2 linked regions of the Sus scrofa genome follow. The protein of the gene in region 1 purifies or fractionates together with the protein of each later gene. This does not show direct contact. Links are inferred from orthologs where the notes say so. Each region holds a gene or a part of one and is shown on either strand. Other genes may lie near its edges.

Region 1 (3,564 bases):
CTATTCACCACCTTTACCCTGATGTGTTGTTATGATAGAAACTATGAAAATTGAACACTAGTATTCCAATCTTCACGTACACTTGGGGCACAGCATGCGACAGAGGTCTGCCAGTGACCTAAGTGGAAGTCTACTGGTGGACTTCTAAGAGTTTACTGTCCTGCTAAATGAGGCAAACATGACTAACTTATACTCTGAGTAGAAAAAAACAAAACAAAACTATTTTTATTAGCAGATATACAAAATACACTAGTATCATCACTTTCAAATTATCCAAAGACTATACAGATCTCTACAAATTATAAAACTGTCCTTCAAATTAAAAAAAAAAAGGATATACAGATATTTTGAGACCACTTTTCATAAGGTACTACGATACAGACTAATAAAAACTATCAAACTATGGAAGAAATACAAATGCTGTGTCCCAAAGAATTCTGTTGTTTTGAATAAACTATTCAGGTATGTTATTTTTCAGGAAGGAGAACAAATGATACATTTTTGTACTAACTTTAAGATTATATTGGTCAAACAGTATTACTAACAAAAATATTAATCTACCACATTAATCAAGTGTGATGTAACTGTCATCAAATACTTAATCAGAGGATAATTTACCATCAAATAAGTAATCCTATCTTCATTGTGACAAATGGATTCTTAACTGTACAACATATATAATATAAATTTCTTAATATGATTTCTACCTTCCCTTTAATATTTGCTTCATATTGAAAGACAACAGAAAATGCAAGTGGTCAATGAACAGCTTCTAAAAGCTGAAGTGCAAAAATACCAGATTTTATCACACCACAAATCTACTCTTTGGTCTTTGCTACTGGATTGTCAACACTGTCTTTTATGGCCCTAACTCTTTAAGAACAAATCCTCAGGCTTGTTCTTTTAAGGATATACAGGCATCTTCTGCTAAACATCAGTAATCTTTTCCAAAAAAGTGTGAAAACTGCTAACTGGGAGCTTATTTCCCATTATTTTAATTGGAAAAAAATTATAATACTTTTTTAAAAAAACAATGCAAAGGTGAAAAAAAAAAAAAAACCCTTATCTAACTTCCTAAAGTGTAACCAATACACAGTTAAAATTTATCATTTATAACTATCCGGTTCGGATGTAAAACACTCTGCTTCCTAACCATCAATTTATAAAGCTGTTAACAGAGTTGGTTTGCATACATAACATGGCTTATCTTAGAAATATCAACATTTTAGACCCACACACCCTTTGACATGTCATGCTCCTCAGAACATCTTCAAGTGATTTTGACATTCTACTAATTATATATAAAATGTGCACTTTATCCACATAGTGTACTTTTATGTGTACTTTATTCACATAGCGTGGTTTTTTTTTTTTTGAAATGTTAAACTGAGTTTTATAGACATAAGTACAACTTAGTTAAAAAAACACTGCATTTAGAGTACAAACATTCATAACATTTGGGTATCAATAAAAAGTTGCTCTACTGAGAAAACAATAAACATTTTTGTATGATATACCTGTATACTTTGTGATATAGGTGTATCTGAAAAATAACTTACAAATTTATACACAATTTCCTTTGCAAAAACAGAGTTTGTGGTGGACTATTCAACACATGAAACTGTATAATGAGAGCTAACAAATATAATTAACATTCAAAATAAAAGTACTAATGCAGTTTTATAATTCCTACTAGAAATATACTATTGTAAATACAGAATATTACAGGCAAAATAGGGTGGGGAAGAGTGTAGATACTGGAATAACTATAATCAACTGCTAAATTATACAGACTTAAGCTAAAACAGTACACAAAGACTGGGCATAATCACTCAGTAAGTACCTGTAAGATGAAGCACATAGCCAAAATCAAGGTGGGTACATCCATCCTGTACTATAACCCCTAATGGCTTGCTGCATTCAACTGTGCCAAGACAGACATGCTGTTCTGGTAGTGTACACTTGCTGGGGAAACGTGTGTATATTGGAGTCAATGCAACTCCCACAGTACACATACTGACAGTGTTCACTTATTTATCCACTATGTGAGCAAATTTATGAAATAAAAATACACATTTTAATTCAATAAAGCTGTAGAAAGTATGAAAACAACTTTATTGTGGAAACTTGTAGAAGATGTAACATAATTCCATTTCACTACTTTAAACTTGATTCAAATGATGTTACCTTTTCAGGTGTTCTCTAACTTATATATATGCCCTACACGAAAAGCTTCCTCTTTTAAAATATGATTACTTCTGGTAGGGGTGTCAGTAATGATTCTTGGCAGTATGAGTGTGCCAAATGCCTGGGAGAAGATGAGCAGGATATGGGAAGAGAACATTAGAGGAAAAAACTGAATTGTTTCTCAGGTAACTATTACAACATTTTGCCTTGCCTTCAGAAATACAAAAAGATCACCAATTCCTCTTTTTGTTTCTTTCACCACATAGTACTTGGGTTCCAAAATGCATGCCAGATATTTAGTGCAGCTATTCTAAAATTTAATAGACTTTGTGGCCTATTTTAGGTGATTACCTACCCTTCACTATATTTAAATATTTAAAAATACTTAAAAGTTCCAATCAATCCAGTAACAAAAGAACTTTTGGGAATATAACCTGCTTCTATTTAGAGATGATCAGAACAGTAAAATATAGTTAAATCATTAACTCAGTTATTAATTCTGCCCTTTACCATAAAAAAAAAAAAAATTGATTCCATTATACTACCATGCCCTAAGGTCACATAATTAGACAAAATAAGCAAAAGAACAACACTTGACAAATTTTTTAATTCTCAATTAAAAACAGAACATCTTACCTTTAAAATCATCTCTTGCTCCTTGTCCTTCCTTCCTGTTCATTTTTATGTCAGAGCAGTTGTTAGGGGCACCTTTAGAGTTTTCAAGGTAAGCTGAGCTTGCTCCTTTCTTGGAGGGATGAGGATCACAGAGTTTTGCATTAATCTTATAAAGCTCAAGGGCTTTAATAGCTGCTGCATTGTTATCCATACGACGAAAAGTTGGACAGGAAGCACAAAACTCATTCGTGCAGGCCTCATTTCCACAGCCTTCAGTTAACTGGTGGTAGTAGCGTTCTATTAGATGCTTTGCAGCTGCTCGCTTCCTGTACCAAACATTCAAACAAGCACAGTGATTAGTACAGCTCTCAGATACAAAGCTCCAAAGATCATTAGCAAGGCCAAAGTTAGTCAGGCACTGAAGTAATAAACTTGCATATTAAGATGAGGTGTAGAAAATGGAGATTCACTATTTACATAAAACTTTTTTAACTGGTGAAATATTTGACAGTTATTTCCTAAGATATTATGATAAAGAATAACAATGCTTCTCAAAATCACTGTTTTAGTATGCTTTTCTCTGGACTTTAAAAAGGGGAGAGGGGTTTGTTTGATGTTCTTTGTTAAGCATAACAACTAAAAATCACAAGTTTTACAGCTAAAATTTTTGATATTTTATCACTTTAAAAACCAACATTAAAAAAGAGTCTACTGAAAATGTAAATCCAGCTTTCCTTTATATAATCAACATTTTGTTTCAAT
Region 2 (4,145 bases), on another chromosome or scaffold:
TCCTAATTCACTTTTCAGTTTTTACTCCTCAATCCATGCTGCAGTTATATACTATTACTTCTCAGATGGATGATAAATCCTTTTTTTTTTTTGTCTTTTTAGGGCCACACCCATAGCATATGGAGGTTTCCAGGCTAGGAGTCGAAATCAGAGCCACAGCTGCCGGCCTATGCCAGAGCGACAGCAACGCCAGATCCGAGCCGCATCTGCAACCTACACCACAGCTCACAGCGATGCCAGATCCTTAACCCACTGAGCGGTCCCAGGGATCCAACCCACAACCTCATGGTTCCTAGTAGGATTTGTTTCCACTGCACCACAAGGGGAACTCCAATAAATCCTTTTTAAACTACTCCATATTTGTGATCTCACTGTATTTCTAATTCCTCTACTGTCTGATTTGTGGAAAGTAATTAAGAACTTATTTCTCTCACTTTTCTTAAGGGCTTTCTTCAGTGGAAAAACTAAGTTTAATGTTCAGAGTCAACATTAAACTTAATTATATAAATAAGATTTTGAAAACAAGATTTCTCCCTGTTTAGAATGGCGAGGATGGAATTACCATAAATATGCTCTTGTCCTACCTCCTAATTACAGCATTCAAGCATTTATTAAATACCACCCTGTATTTAAGGTAATACAGAAATAGAGTCATTAAGGAATTTAGTGAATTTAACTGAAAGAATTTGCAATCCACCTGGGGAGGCATGAAATAAATCCATGGGGAAAAAACATAAAATGAAAGGACAGCAGTATTGAGCTAGAAAGTCACTGGAGGCAATCAGATTTAGATTTGAATTCTGGCTTCATCACCTACCCTGGCTATGCTGTATATGTAAGTTATCTTCTATACTCTAGACTTCATTTATAAAATGAGGATATCTTCTTCGCAAGCTTGTTGTAAGAAAAGAAAAAAAAAGAGCACCTAATAAAACATAGTGCCTGAAATATTCACAGGTACTTCCAACTGCTGTTGTTATTGTTACTATCTTAAAGGCAAAAAAGATTATTTAATCCAATTCTCACTTTACAGATGGGACACCAAAATATCATAAAATAGAATATGAATGTCAGATGAGTGCAACAAATTGGGCATAGGGCAAGTTCATGAGTAATAAATCACCAGTATTCAGGTCAGGCTTTTACAAGTGGATACTGACTTATGAAACAAACACTGCTATAAAATTAAAAACAATTTCATAAAAGCACAATTGCTTCTTTTCACTGATTTTCAAACATGGATTGTGTAACTAAACACAGGTTTACAGACAAGAACAAAATAAATCCATGCCAGAAAGATTAAAATCCAGCTTTTCAATAAGAACAGCAATATAGTATTTATGGGGTGGGGAGGGGAGGTTTCCAAATTCAACAGGTGAGGCTTCATTGAAAGACCATGACTTCAAAACTTTGCTCTGTTGGCTAGATGTAATTTTGTTCCGGGACAAATTTAAGACAATATTCAGGCTTTTCGCTAAATACTACTTCACTAAATGCATCTTGTAGTTAATTCTGAGGCACTACATTTCTTAATCTGGTCAAATGCTCAATTTATATGTTTAAAACATACATAATTTAAACTTTAAATGAGCCAAGTGCTAGCTTTATATGACAAGAGGGCCACTTTATGTTAATCATCCCCACTAAAACTGTATTCAGTTCTTTTTTATTTCAACATTATCAGTGACTTGTCTTATTGTTTACTCATAAATATTAAGTCAGCAGCACTAAAAACATACTTATATGAGCAATGAAGAAAGTAATTTTCACTCTAGTAACTGCATTTCTATGCTAATTTTCAAAGCCTCTCAGCATTTCCCATTAAATCTTTTTACCAACTTCTGGTTACTATTTTTTTTAAAATTTCTGTAATTTTCTCTTCAGTCACTAGATTTATATTCAAATTCTTTCGATAAGTCTACATTTTTCTTCTTTTGACTAACAAAGTAACGTCAACAGGAAAATTAAGTTCCAAGAGGTAACAGAAGCAGATTTCTACTTTATTGAAAGCTGGAAATGTAATCAATACATTACAATCAACAACTACTCAACTGGACAAATTGAAAGTAAGTTAAAAGGCATAGCAGGAATAACCACACTTTAAAGAGTTTCAAGGTTAAAAACCAGTGCACCTCTGGGGTTATTTTTGAAGGGAGTTGAGAACCTCACACCAAGAGAAAAGGGGTCATGGCCTATGCTCAGGACAAGTGATAAAGTACACATGCATTCAACGGGAAAGTTAATTTTATCCTCTCACTCTTATTTTCTGTCTGGCGGGAAGTTTTTCAACACAGGGGTAACTTTCAATAGAGCACATACAAATAGAGGCAAAAACCAAGGGTTCTACCCTGTATAAGGAGAGGGTCCAAAATGTGGTGAATTCAGCGGAGCAGAAATGCCTGGAGGAAGGAGATCTAAATCAAGACCAACAGCCGGCAGTAGCCGGCGAGGAGGACGAAGGAACCTGGACCCACCCTCACTTCCTGGGCCCCCAGTGGCAACTCGGCTGGGCAACGTGACTCAGGAAAGCACCCGGCTGGCAGCGGCCTAACGCGGATGCCTCCGCGGACCTCCTGGGGCGGCCTTTCCCGTCTCACCTTTGGCGGGCTGGCGAAGAGGCCGCAGTCTGGACCCTTGTGACGCGGCGGTGGCGGTGACAGCGGCGGCGGCGGCCGTGACGGCGGCGGCAGCAGCAGCTCGGGCTCAGCCGGGTTCTGGCTCCGCGAACCGGCGATGAATCAGCCCGATTCCATTCAAAAGAGTCGCCCGGGCCTCCGCCGCGAAGCACTTCCGGGTTCACTGCTCTGCTCCGGCTTCCGTTCCCCCGACGACCAATTGGAGACGACTCTGGAGATGGGCGAGCGTCCCAGGAGGAGCTGCCCGGACTGACAACGCCTGCCGCCCGCTTCCCCGGTCCCAGCTGGGAGGGCGGAGCGGAAGTTAGCGCCGAGACCGCTCCTGCACCTCCGACATCCTCCCTTTTCTGCTCCCGCCTCTCCCTTCCCACTTCTGCGCGTTCTGCGAACTCCGAGATCCGGGACGCAGGCCTACACAGCCTGGGAGGTGACTGGTTAGGAAATGGAACTGCAGGTATGCGAAGACCAGTACCCTTTACGTTTTGGTGTCCACCCGCGGCCCTTCTTAAAAACGAAAAGGTTCCCTTGAACTAAACTTAACTTGGTCACCTGAGAAGCAAAATTGAAAAGGGAGGGGTGTGAAGAGTGGGAAACAGTGGAATACTTTTTTCCATACGACATAATACCCACCTTCTTGTCTTTACCGCTTTGCAGAGATTGAATTTCAAGGAAAACCAAAATTTCCTAAATAGTAAAACCATCTATTTTAAGCTCAATGCAATTTACAAGTTTAAGAAATCATTTCCTCACGTTTCTCCGGGTAACTACCATCAACAGTAACGTTTTGCCCATTATGTGCTCTGTGCTAGGTTTTCAGAGAGCAAAACTGCCCAAGAAATAACTATTGACAGGTTTATATTTCACTTCCCTACAGGCTCTCTTTAGGGCAGCACATTTACCAAGTCCCTCTCACTTTGTCAGATATATTACAGATAACTAACATCTTCGAGGCATTCCTATATCAAGAATTTACTGGATGGAGGGAAAAGAAGATTATACCATATGAAACCAAAGCGGTTTGTGTGGCATATTAACACCCAATTTCCCCCTCAAAGAATTCCACCTAAAAATGTATATACATTGTTTTAATCATAGGTAATACTAATTATATATGGATCCATGTCTTTATCTTTTCCCTCAAACCCGTGCCTTTTTTTTTTTTTTTTTTTTTTTTTTTTTTTGCAGATGTCCTTCATGTAGTTTCCCTAATCAGACCCAAGAGTAGACACCTCTTATTCACCTATTCCCACTGGCTTCCCAATTAAAAACTCTGGAAATGACGAAGGGTCTAATCTATAAAATAGTTTTTCAATCCACCACTCCCCTTTCTCCATTCTCTCTACTCCAACTCTCTACTCCTTAACTCAAACCTGCATTATTCTTTTCCTAGAATACTGCAGTAATCTCCTTGATCTCCCTGCCTCCATTCTGTCTTAATCCACTCTCCACTGGCAAATGTCCTTTCTACTATACAAATAAAATCATGCCCCTTCTGGAGTTCCTCTTGTG

The links.
Region 2: the proteins of UBE3A (region 1) and PSMD14 purify together in Homo sapiens (affinity purification with mass spectrometry; 10 studies listed by BioGRID and IntAct, with this or other methods). This does not show direct contact. The link is inferred for Sus scrofa from reciprocal best matches to the Homo sapiens genes UBE3A and PSMD14.

Annotation. Positions count from the first base shown.
Region 1 is NC_010443.5:141,953,164-141,956,727, reverse strand, and holds part of UBE3A (ubiquitin-protein ligase E3A), read right to left. Parts: intron 3,129-3,564; coding exon 2,824-3,128; intron 1-2,823. UniProt on the Homo sapiens protein: E3 ubiquitin-protein ligase which accepts ubiquitin from an E2 ubiquitin-conjugating enzyme in the form of a thioester and transfers it to its substrates.
Region 2 is NC_010457.5:68,106,035-68,110,179, reverse strand, and holds the start of PSMD14 (26S proteasome non-ATPase regulatory subunit 14), read right to left. Parts: upstream 2,802-4,145; 5' UTR 2,598-2,801; intron 1-2,597.